Oryctolagus cuniculus: one gene and its partners. The protein of the gene in region 1 interacts with the protein of each later gene in a pairwise test. Links are inferred from orthologs where the notes say so. Each region holds a gene or a part of one and is shown on either strand. Other genes may lie near its edges.

Region 1 (4,379 bases):
ATACTGAATTGCTACTTTAAAGGGAACATTCATATATGATTTCAGTAGTGAACTAAAATTGTCCTCCACAGTGGTTTTACCAGGTTATGTTCCAACCAGCAATGTATTGAGAGTGCCTGTTCTCCACAATCTCCACAAATAAGCAGACTATCTAACTTTTGTATCTTTCACAGTCTGGTAAGTGAAAAGTCTTATTTTAGTGTACTTTTAAAATTTAAACTTTATTTGAGGCTGGTGCTGTGGTGTAGCAGGATAAGCTCTGCCTGCGATGCTGGCAGACCCATACTGGTGCCAGTTTGAGTCCCGGCTGTTCCACCTCTGATCTAGCTCCCTGCTAATGTGCCTGGGACAGCAGTAAAGGATAGCCCAAGTCTTTGTGCCCATGCATCCACACAAGAGACCCAGATGCAGCTCCTGGCTGCTGGCTTTGGCCTGACCCAGCCCCTGTAGTTGCAGCCATTTGGAGAATGAACCAGTGGATGGAAGATCTGTTCTCTCTACTTCTCTCTCTCTTTCTCTCTGTGTGTGTGTGTGTGTGTGTGTAGCTCTGCCTAGCAAATAAATAAATCTTTAAAAAATTCAAACTTTATCTTTGTTTTTGAGAGCTACAGAAAATTTGCATAATGCGTAGTACTATATACTTCCATCCAGTTTACCTTAGTATTAACATCTTACATAACTGGTGCATTCATCACAGCTAATAACTCTTATTAACTAAAGTGCATTATTTATCACAATTTCTTAGTTTTTACATAATGCCCTTTTTCTGTTTCAAGATCCTACCCAGGATATCACATTACATTTAGTAATCATGTCTCCTTTGGTTCCTCATGGCTGTGACAAAATCTTGGGTTTTCTTGCTTTGGATGACCTGGGTAGTTTTCAGAAGTATTAGTCTGTTTACTATGAAATTTCCATCTCACTTTTAAGTGAGATTGAACTTTTTTCTTCTTATAAAGACATTTATACTTCCATTACTGGGAACTAAGAGCCAATGCTTTTAACCACTATACTATACCTCTCTCTTGATTCACTATAATTACAAATAAAACATTCATGAGTTTGAATATATACAGATTTCGGATTTTGAACTGACTGAACTCAGAAGTCTTACAGATGTAGAACTGTTAGTGCAAATGTCATGGGTGGACTTTTATCTCATCTAGGAGGACTAGTGGCTTTACTGGGAAGAACAGGGTCGACAGCGATCAATTTGAGGGAAGTTAGAGTAAAGCTAGGATTTAGTAATATTGGATAAGAGAATCAAGAAGACCAAGGTTACTTCTGGTTTTGAAGCTGGATATTTTGAGTATTTTCTTTAACTCATATGAGAAATATTCGGACCAGTTACCATGTAGCAGTCACTCAACACCTGTTTTCCCTTTCTGTTTCTCTGGTACTACATTTCCCAGAGTTCCACGCTCCACCACAATTCCCCCTTAGAGTCTGCCGCTAAGAGTTCTGGGACTTGAGGTCCGCGGCCTATTCGCCCATTCACCCAAGTTAGCGATAGGGGCCTGTGGAAGCATGAAGAGGTAAGGGCTTGTCTGAGGAGCAGGCGGCATGGGGACCTCTGTTCTACCTTTAACTTTGAAAATGGCTGTTACCGCTTTCTGTTTGGAAGGTGTCAGGTTCTCAGGATGCGGTTTCTTGTAAGCGGGAAGTCCAACGCGGAGGTGGTGGTGGTGGTGGGGGGTGGGGGGGCGGAAGGACAGGCCTGCGGGGCGAAGTTCAGGAAGGGCCAGTGCAGGGGCGGGTTCGGCCTGATGTGCCCCCTCCCGCCCTAGGCCCCGGGAACTTGCTGGGTACTGCGGCTTCTTCGTGTTTCGGATGCACCCACTCAGGCAAATGGGTCTTGGCTGGCACGTTCCCGGTGTCTGAAATACCCAGGCCAGCTCCTCCCGTTGTCGCCCCAACTTACCTCACCCTCAGACCGGAGCTCAGGGTGTACAGGGGCTCAGGATGTGCCCCATTTGCTTAGGATGCCTGTATATATTAAGGAAGACTTGCGGGGGTAGCGACCCCACGGAGTGCTTTCAAATCTTAGAGTAAAGAAGTGCTACATTGTTTCTATAAATTTAGAAGGAAAGCACAAAGCGGGTAGGATGTATTTATAGAAGGAAAGCGTGGCTGTGAGCAGCCTTCCCCCACTCCCCGCCGTGGTCCCGCAGTAAATGGCAGTGAGAACTTGGAGGGTCATTGTTGAGAGTGTGAGCCTCACGATTTTTGGCAGGACAGAAAGCCTTTAAAGAGGGTCTCATTAAAATAGTTTTGTGCAAGTAGTCATCACTGGGATAGTGCGGTGCATTTAAAATAGTTTCTAATATGCTGTCCTGTACTATCAGTTCCTTGCATCTTTTAAAAAACTGTTTCTGATTTTCCTTGTCTGAAAATAACCTTGAAATTTTTCATGGTGAGATAGCTCACACATGCAAAATAATGCATATATACAATTTAAAAACGAACGAAGGCTCACACTCTACAAATTTAAGGAGTAGAACATTACCAGTCCCTTAGAATTCCCTTGTCTCCTGTTTACTTCCCTCGCTTCCCTTCCCTGGGAGGTGATCACTGTCTGGAATTTTGAATTAATAATTCCCTTCCTTTTTTGTATGTTTTTTAAAAATTCATTTTAGCACATATAAATTTTTCCTTAAACATATTCCTACTTTCCCCATTTCAACTTTTTACAAATACTGCATGAGGTTTTCTGTGACCTGCTTGTTTTTTTAACAGCATTTCTTTTTGAGATGCATGTGTCTTGATTAATTTAGCTAACTCTCTACCTAAAGAGATTTTTGAGTTTCCCAAAATAAGTCCAAATCGTTCTACAGTATGCTAATAGTCATAGGGGTTACTTTTTCTAGACCTTATCATAACCCCACTAGGAAAGGGCTATTTTATAAGGAAAGTACTCAATATTAAGCATGCTTAAATGGTATAAACATTAAGAAATATCTTTATGCTCTAATAACAATTTTCAGTTATTTAGGGTCAGTTAGCTCATGCTATCCATTACTCAGATTTCTACACAGTGATTCTAAGCAAAAAAATGTTATGACCCTCTTCATATTTCTTTCTATACTGTGTCCTTTGGAGATCTCCTTTTTTCATAGCTCCAAACCTCATCAACACAGCTTACTTGAAATTTTGTTATTCAGCCTCAGACTCTATTCAATAGTTGTATCATCTCTCATTTTCCTTCTAGCCAATCATTCATACTGCCATCTCAGACTCAATGTTTTTATAGCATTCCAGATACTTCATGCTAGTGTTTCAGTTGTGGTGTATGGTTGATTTCACAAAGCTAAGGCAATACTGGCTTTCCCTTTCGCAAATCACTTATTCCATCTGGAGCTGCTTCTTTGCTTCAAGCACCATCATTGTGTGAATTTCACAGCTTAAAATGTGGGGGTTAGCTTTGACTTCCTTGCCCTTGCCTTCAAAAGAACTCTCTCATCTAACCCTTCCTTTCTATTTCCACTATTAACATTTCAGACTAGACCTTCATCACTTTGTCTTTTGGTAGTTTGGTAAAGAGTTGTTCTGATTTTTTCTCTTCTAATTCATATGGCACATAATAGCCACATCTCTCTTCCTAAACAATCACTTGCACTGCGTCACTTAATCACTACTTTATAATATCTATAACATTAAATATAGGGGTCCCTCATCTGGCCCTTCACAATCTGAGACTTACCCTCTATGATCATCTTCCAGTACTCCCAAATGTGAATGCCAGCTAAATGGAACATCTCATTACACATCAGTGCACATTTCTGTCTCTTCATACTCAGACTTCCAATTCTCCTTTACTTCATCACAACCTGTCCTTCCAATGCCAATTTGAGAATACCTTTCTGAAATTTTCCTTTACCACTCTAGCTCTGAATTCTTTCTTCTGTGAACTGCTACTAATTTGGTATATGTGTCTCTGTATCATTATTCATTCTCTCTCTCTTTTCCCTCTCACTTTTTTTCTTTCTTCCCTTCCCATCTTCCCCCTCCCTCCTACAGACCTTTGTGCACAACACATACATACACATAAGTTTCTTTTGTCTGAAGAAGTTGCAGGCTTCTTGAAGATAGGGACTGTCTTGTATTATCTTTGAGCTCCGTAAGTACCTAGTTCTTTGTGTAAATAGGTATTTAGCAAATGCTTACTAGAGAAGTGTCCTTGAGCAAATAGAGTTACTAATGGTTGATAATATAGATAAGGAAAATATTTGGAGATTCTGTCTCTTCTGCTTTCTGGATATATTCTTATATCTACTCCAGGATAAACAGCTGTGTGAAGAGTGATGAGCGTGTCTTGGAGGAGCTGGAAACAGAAGGGGAGAGACAGCTGAAAAGCCTCCTTCAGCATCAACTTGATACCT
Region 2 (4,383 bases), on another chromosome or scaffold:
TTACTCTCTCTTTGTCTTTGTCCTTTATCTCTCTCTGGTTCTCAAATAAGCAAAAATTTAAAGAAAAAGGAAAAGAACAGTTGTGGAAAACTTGAATTAAAAGCTAGGTTTATTTTGGGACTGGTATTGTGGCACAGTGGGTGAAGCCTCCACCAGCAGTACTGGCATCCCCATATCAGGTTGTAGTCCTGGCTGCTGGCTTCCCATCCAGCTCCTTGCTAATATGCCCTGGAAAAGCAGTGGAAGACAGCCGAAGTCCTTGAGCCCCTGCCACCTATGTGGGAAAGCAAAATGGAGTTCCTGCCTCCTGGCTTTGGCCTGATTCTCCCAAGGCTGTGGTAGTCAAAAGGGGAGTAACCTAGCAGATGGAAGATTCTGCTACTCTGCCTTTCAAATAGCTAAATCTTTTTTTTTTTTTTTTTTTTTTTGACAGGCAGAGTGGACAGAGAGAGAGAGACAGAGAGAAAGGTCTTCCTTTGCCGTTGCTTCACCCTCCAATGGCTGCCGCGGCCGGCGTGCTGCGGCCGGCGCACCACGCTGATCCAAAGGCAGGAGCCAGGTACTTATCCTGGTCTCCCATGGGGTGCAGAGCCCAAGCACTTGGGCCATCCTCCACTGCACTCCCTGGCCACAGCAGAGAGCTGGCCTGGAAGAGGGGCAACTGGGACAGAATCCGGCACCCCGACCGGGACTAGAACCCGGTGTGCCGGCGCTGCGAGGCGGAGGATTAGCCTAGTGAGCCACGGCGCCGGCCAATAACTAAATCTTAAAAAAAAAAAAAAAAAAAGTTGCATTTTGATGGAAAAAAGTTTTGAAATCTATGCACACATTAAAAAATACCATTAATTTTCCACGAGTTTTTTTTTTGTTTTTGGAAGATTCCTCCTGGTTTGAGTATATTTAGTTTTATTCTCACTGAATGGCTTCTGTTTTCCTAGGCTTTCTGTTTATTCTTATTCTCCCTCCCCTCCTTTTCTTGTCTATTTCGGTCTTTATGGTACCACTTTACTTGGCAGTTTGTTTCTGAGATTGTCAAATACGGGGGCCCATGCCTTACTTCCCGCTAACTCTTGTTCCTCCTCCTTAGCTGAAGATAGGGCTTATTTAGGGAGTCTGGACTGAGCACGGGGCTTGGTGGGCGCTGAGTCCTCTTCTTCATTCAGCAACCAGAACGCTGACCATCCAGCCAGGACATTGGAGAGTGATCCTTAGGGAACTGACCAGCGGTAAAGATCTAGAGATGGTTACATTCATCGGCAATCCCACAATTAAATAGGCGATAAAATACACCTACCTAGTCACTGCCGCTCACCAAGCGCACTCATTTTCAGAACATCTCGATGTCGTCTGAAGCATAAATGTAAATGATTCACTTTGAATTTATGCCGTGAAAGAAGGAGTACCTTCAAGATCCACAATGAAGAGCTCCAATGCTTAGAGAGAGGGGGTACGGGCCCAGCCTTCTCTGGGCTGCCTTGGGGGCGGGGGCTCTCTTCCTGGGCCGCAGTTCCAACCTCCGGCCTGCAGGGGGAGACGGCGCTCAGAAGGCTGCTCGCGGGAAGGACCGCTCTGGCCAAGAGGAAGGAACCCGAGAGAGGCGAGAGGAAGTCGCGGTGTCACCAAGTCCCTTAGCCGCTGAGGCGCGCTGGTTTCTGTCGCTGACCGGAGCGGGACTCCACCAGCCACGCTGGCTGCGAATGGAGCCGAGGACTCGCGCGGAGGCGGGATGCCCCCGATCGGCGATGCGCCGGGAGCTCCGGTGAGTCGTCTCTGGCGACTCGGGGAGGTGACACAAACCTCCCGGTTGTCTTGGTGAGGTGGCGCTGGAGGCTTGTGAGGGTGGTTCCCGCGGCGCAGGTTCGAGTCCCTCGCGGCATTCCCAGGGGTCGTGGTCCCAGTGAGATGACTGATCTCTCCAGGGAGGTGGCTCCGGTGGCCGGGCGAGGGTGGCACAGACTCCTGGGAGGGGTGGCACCAGGGAGGTAGCCCTTTTTCGAAACCTGTATCCGACCGCCCTGGGACTTTGGGCAGATCCCTGTCGGTTCCTTTGGGAGCCCTGTGTTAAGTTCCATCTGCTCCTTTAACGTCAGTGTTTTTGTCACCTTGTTCTTCCAGTGCTGCCCTGAAAGTGGCGCAGAAACGGAGAGCATCGTGGAGGAGAGCAAGCAGGCTGCATCCGCCGTAGCGCTTTGTGTCCCGGCGTCTCTCCCAAACTCAGCCTTCCAGGGTAGGCGGCAGGGAAAGGCGATCTTAGCCTGTTAGCTTTGAGATGAGCTGTTTCTGCGCACTATGCTTATGTAGTACCAAGTATTAACTGGTCTTATATGTGTATGTTTGTCTACAATTGTATAACACGGGTGCTCTCCAGAAGGGCCAGAGCCGGGAATCGAACCCAGGTATTGCAGCGTAGGACGCAGCTGCTAAACTCCCAGGCTACACACCTACCCTCAAAGGTTTTGTTGCACCACAGGAAACTTTTCATTCCATTTTTCCATGAACTTTTTCAGATACCTATATGTATGTAGTATGTTCTTCCATTATTAACTTTTGTATGTTTTTATAATTCCTTTAATTCCCCAGTCCTTAATGGTGTTGAGTAATTGTTATTCTTTTATTTTAGGTGACATAAATAATGTAGCTCTTGTTGAAAGTGAACATGTCAGTGAAAATATAGATAATAGTGAGCTTTCGGCTTACGTGTCTGCATTCATAGAAAAGGAAGTTGGAAATGACCTTCAGTCTTTGAAGAAACTTGATAAACTCATAGAACAAATGACAAAAAATAAAATACAGTTAGAAGAACAGGCAAGTATAATATATATGCATCTTTATTAATATAAACATAGCTAATATTGTGTATAAAATTGTGAAGGTATAGATTGTGACATTTTAAACTGCTTAATGAGTTTTCTTCCCACTCCCTGCTTAAAAAGTTTTTTTTTGCTCAATAAGCTTTAAGGATTTACAGTGTGCTATGTATTTTATAAACTATATAAAAGGGTTCTTACTGTATGATTTATGTCTTTAAAAACGATAACATTTTCATGGCTTTTTATACAGACTTAGAGACTGCTTTAAAAAAAAAAGATTTATTTATTTACTTAGAAAGAGTTACACAGACAGAGAAAGAGAGGCAGACAGAGAGAGAGAGAGGTCTTCCATCCGCTGGTTCATTCCCCAGATGGCTGCAACGGCTGGAGCTGAGCCGATCCGAAGCCCGGAGCCAGGAGCTTCTTCCAGGTCTTCCATGTGGGTGCAGGGCCCCAAGCACTTAGGCCATCTTCTACTGCTTTCTCAGGCCATAGCAGAGAGTTGGATTGGAAGTGGGCAGCTGGGTCTCCAACTGGCGTCCATATGGGATGCTGGCACTGCAGGTGGTGGCTTTGCCACAGCGCTGGCCCCAGAAACTGCTTTTACAAGTAAATTTATGGTAAACAAAAAAAGTTTAAACACCATCATCCCAAATTTTTATAAATGCACACATAGAGGAGAAACATGAAAAGTGTAACATTATAATGGTTTCTTGTAGGTGGTTGGTTGACAGGTGATTTTTTTTCATTTTATGTTTTATTACATATTACTTAAAAGAATTTTTTAAAAACCCAATGAATGTAATCTTAAACAAGTAAGTCCCTATACTTGCAATAATGTCTTTGTTAAAAGATTGTTATTGTGTAACCACCAAAGTAGGTTAAAGTAAGCTCTGTGGGAAGTGGGTATATTTTCTCCAGGTTGTCAGTCCTCTTGTGTTCTCCCATCCAGTCACCTTGGCCCTCCACATCTTCCTGTCTTTTTACCACATCTACTCCACTGCTAGTTTCAAGATTTTGCTAGGCCCTGATGGCCTTTTCTGTACCTGTAGGCAGGCTGTTGTGAGCCCCGTGGGAGGAGGTCACCCATGCAGGGGGAGGGATGCCACCCAAATGTCCGGTTGCCTTCCTGGCTGAGTCTTCAGCCCCACCTAGTGGTCCTTCCGTAGGAATGTGGGCCCTCTGCTGCTCCCCTCAGCTGTGCTTCCAGATTTTCCCGGAGACACTAGAGCTGGCCATTCTGCCCTTTCCCTTTCCCACACAGAAAATACTGAGGCATCTCGCATGAATCGGTCTCCCCCACATGGCACAAACCTGTTTGTAAACATTTTTACCTCTTAATTCAGTGGAAGCATCAACCTAAAGCTGTCTTTGTGTCTCAGCTCATGCCTGCCACCTTAGCGGACTTAACATCACTCCTCAGCCAGTCCTGTTCCCTCTGCTTATGGACATACGCATGACTTTTTCATACAACCCAAACCAACAAGCAAAACTTTCCTCTCATCTTTCAGTGGGAGCTGGCACTTTCCTTTGACTGTCAGTCTGAAGAGTCATCATGTGTCTGCCTTCACTT
Region 3 (3,648 bases), on another chromosome or scaffold:
ATTTTTATTCCTTGTTCATTCTTTTTGAATATATTTCCACATTAGCCCTGAACAGTCACCTGAGTATGTGGATAGCAGCTCTAATTTCTTTACTCCTATTGCACATGCTAAAATCTTAATTATACTGTATTCTTGTTCCAATCTATAATAATTCATTATGACAAAAAATAAATGTTTGCTTTGACTTTTCTTTTTGGGAACCTAATATAATTTGATTCATGTGGCCTGGAAAGGAGAAAACAGTAAAAACTAGACTGGGGAATTCTCTCTTGTCTGATGGCTAGTTTCCATTTAAATTGCAAGATATAAGTATTAAACTCCTTCTCATTCATTATTTTCCAAGTTATAGAAACCAAATGACATACTAGAGACAATATTTAATTCTTTAGTTTCCTGGGGCTGGTGTTGTGGCATAGCGAGTAACACTGCCACCTGTGACACTGGCTTCACAGATGGGTGCCAGTTCAAGTCCTGGCTGCTCCACTTCTGATACTGCTACCTGTTAATGTCCTGGTAAAAGCAGTAGAAGATAGCCCAATGTTTGAGCCCTACCACCTGCATGGGAGACTTGGATGAAGCTCCTGGCTCCTGGCTTCAGCCTGGCCTGGTGTTGGCCCTTGGGGCCATCTGGGAAGTGAACCCAGGGGTGGAAGATTCCCTATCTCTCTTTCTCAGTTTCTCCTTCCTTCTCTGTAACTCTGACTTTCTAAATAAAGATATAAATCTGTCTAAAAATCTTTATCTCCTAAAGTCTCCAATTATAACACCAAGGTTGAAGGAGAATATCTGAGCACCTCTAGGCAGCAACAGTTCTAATTAACAAAGAGCTGAAACTGAAACAACAGTTTAGACACTGTCAAAAGTTTGAAAAGAGAAAGATGGTGGCTTCAATTTGTCCACTTGTAGAGGAGATGCAGTGAGTACTGGACTATTATTTGTAAGTAGAATGAACAGAAGTAGGAATGGAGGTAAAATATAACCCATAATCTTATTTTTTGTGGGTTATTACTGATAGAAATGTTGTTTATCAGAATGCACAAGACTTAGAAAGAATAAAAGAGCTAGAAAAAGCTCAAGAATGTTTCTAGAAATGGGAAGTTTCAGTTGTTTATTGGACATCTTTGGTTATAGGCAGCTGAATATTTGAGTCTAGAGATCAAGGGAAAGATTAGGAATAAAATGTCTGTTTAGCAACTCTTGGACTGTAGATAGTGTTTAAAATTCTGCTATTTGATGAAGACAGCTTCAGAAAATGTGGAGAAAGAGGAAGCTCTGAACTAGTCCAATATTTAAATTAGGAGTACGGAAGGGAAATTTCTAGCATAGGAAGCTGATGTAATCAATTGATAAGATAAGAGAATTTCTCAAAAGCAGGGAGTGGCTAGCTATGCAAAGTCCTGTTGAAGAGTAATTTAAAGTAAGTACAAAGAGGTACCCATGGGAAATGACTATATGGAGCCCTACAGAAACCTCCACATGAGTAGACACAATGAAAAAGTGAAACAGAAGTCTGATTATAATGGATTCAGCACATCACGCTGTTGAATTAAAAGTCCTGCCTAAGGAAAAGCTGCGAAACATATTTGTCCTTTATTGTAGACCTTGATCAGTCGATTCCTGAAATCAATGTATTTCTAAAAACAGATACTTAAGTCCTTCAAACAGAAGCAGAATTTTATAAAAATAGAGGTGGCTGTTAAAAGCTCATGTTTGAAAAGTTTAAATAAAAGTGCCAGGAAATTTAAACAGAGCTGTAATATTAAATGTCAATACAAAACTCTGTAAAAATAAGCTATCTTTAAAGCTAACAATAAAGTGGTTACCATACCGAAATAATAGCTACTACCATGTCAAAATTACTTAAGTAACAATAAGTATTTAAATATTGTAATCTGATATTGCCTGGAATGAGCCAAGTTTAACAAGTTCAGTCTATAAATATTTAAGAGTTGGTCTCTCTTTCTCACACACACACAGACACACTACATGCCCTTGTACTTTGTTTTAGTAAGTTTTTTTTTGATACAGTGTATCTATTTTCATGGTTGATAAAATAAGAGAGATAACATCTTCTTCACTATGTATTTACCAAGTTCCTAGTGTGGTTATGTGGAAAAGAACATCTGGAAATGGGCAGTATAATGATTATATAATTGAGAAAATAAAACACAAATAATCAGGTCTTAGCTAAATTTTCAAATAATAAATACTGATTATCAATAGAACAGGCACTGAAAATGGTGAATTAGTCATACTCCAAGGAGTCATGCTATTTTAGTAAAAGCATGGAGAAAGGACTTTTGGCTGTGCAGTCAGTAATGATAATTACCATCAGTGACTAAAACTAGTAAATAAGAAGGAGAGGTATGTATCTTCTAGTAAATGGTCATTTAGTACTAGTATATTATATTTATATACAATTATCTTGTACTTTCACAAATGCAAAATTCCTTCTACAATGAAGGATTTGCACAAGAGAATCTTTCATTTGGGACATTAGTTATTCCTACTCTCATATAGCTTATTTCTATGGTTCTTTCCCTTACATCCTGATATTTTGTTAACAAAAAGATTATTGAGCACTTACTATGTGCAAAGCACTAAATTAATGTTCCCTTTAATAGTGCAAATAAGAAAGTAATATTCCCCAAATGAGTTAATCATGTTAGAATGAATGTATTGCTGACACACTAGTGCTCTTACTCAATGGGTGTGGACACCAAATATTTAGTTCCTACCAGCTCATGACCCCCATCTTCATCGAAGTCCTCCTCTATCCCATCAGTCATCTCTTCTCCATCCGCTTCTGGCCCTCCTTCAGCAGGCTCCTCTGTAGAGTGATCTGCATTCTCTGACACACATTCGTCTTGGATCAGCTCTATACTCTCTTCCAATTGCTTCTTCTGAGCTTCTAGGGGGGAAAAAGCAAATGACTACTACCTTGGGTTGCCCACGAGTCATATGGATAAACCATGAAGAAACAGTCCATGATGGGTAAATTCTGTGTATGGTTAAAGGTATGCTAAGAATAGGTAATATTATGTTTTGGCTGAATTTATTCAATAATGTATATATATATGTGCATTTACATGAAAGCATATTAATTTTAAAATGGAATTATCAAAAATTAGGGAATTCAGATGGTAGTAGTACATAAACAAAGCTTTATGTAAATAGATTTATCTTTCTCATTACTATATTCTGTATGTAGTCCTTTCTTATAAAAATATTCTCTCTGATGAGAAAACAGAGCAAAAATAAAGGGCAAAAAATGAAATGAAACATAAATTGTTCATTCAATGAAGAAGAATGGAAAAAGCTCATTTACAAGTTCAAACCTAAATGAAAAAGACAAAGAAAAACTCAATAAGAAAGTACCAAAGTGAATATGCTTTCATTCAGATGATATATCTCTAAATACAATTCATTGAAATTATAAAGTCTAAGTTCTCTTTGCAGATGTGGTTCACTACAGTGAAAAGAACATAAATTCTGGTGTCATATAACCTAAATTCAAAGTCAAGTTTTATCATTTAGTAGCTATGCAATGCTATTCAAAGCAGAAATGATCAGTCTTCATTGTGCCTCAATTTTCTCCTCAACTCATTGGGATAACTACTTCTTAAACTTATTCATGGTTTGGATTAG

The links.
Region 2: the proteins of RBM41 (region 1) and RINT1 interact in binary tests that used the Homo sapiens proteins (3 or more experiments, as listed by UniProt). The two-hybrid records come from large-scale screens. The link is inferred for Oryctolagus cuniculus from reciprocal best matches to the Homo sapiens genes RBM41 and RINT1.
Region 3: the proteins of RBM41 (region 1) and RALYL interact in binary tests that used the Homo sapiens proteins (3 or more experiments, as listed by UniProt). The two-hybrid records come from large-scale screens. The link is inferred for Oryctolagus cuniculus from reciprocal best matches to the Homo sapiens genes RBM41 and RALYL.

Annotation. Positions count from the first base shown.
Region 1 is NC_091453.1:86,164,339-86,168,717, forward strand, and holds the start of RBM41 (RNA-binding protein 41), read left to right. Parts: upstream 1-1,535; 5' UTR 1,536-1,563; coding exon 1,564-1,652; intron 1,653-4,278; coding exon 4,279-4,379. UniProt on the Homo sapiens protein: May bind RNA.
Region 2 is NC_091434.1:138,817,046-138,821,428, reverse strand, and holds the start of RINT1 (RAD50-interacting protein 1), read left to right. Parts: upstream 1-1,566; 5' UTR 1,567-1,726; coding exon 1,727-1,759; intron 1,760-2,115; coding exon 2,116-2,227; intron 2,228-2,620; coding exon 2,621-2,805; intron 2,806-4,383. UniProt on the Homo sapiens protein: Involved in regulation of membrane traffic between the Golgi and the endoplasmic reticulum (ER); the function is proposed to depend on its association in the NRZ complex which is believed to play a role in SNARE assembly at the ER.
Region 3 is NC_091437.1:110,338,487-110,342,134, reverse strand, and holds part of RALYL (RNA-binding Raly-like protein), read right to left. Parts: intron 2,912-3,648; coding exon 2,739-2,911; intron 1-2,738.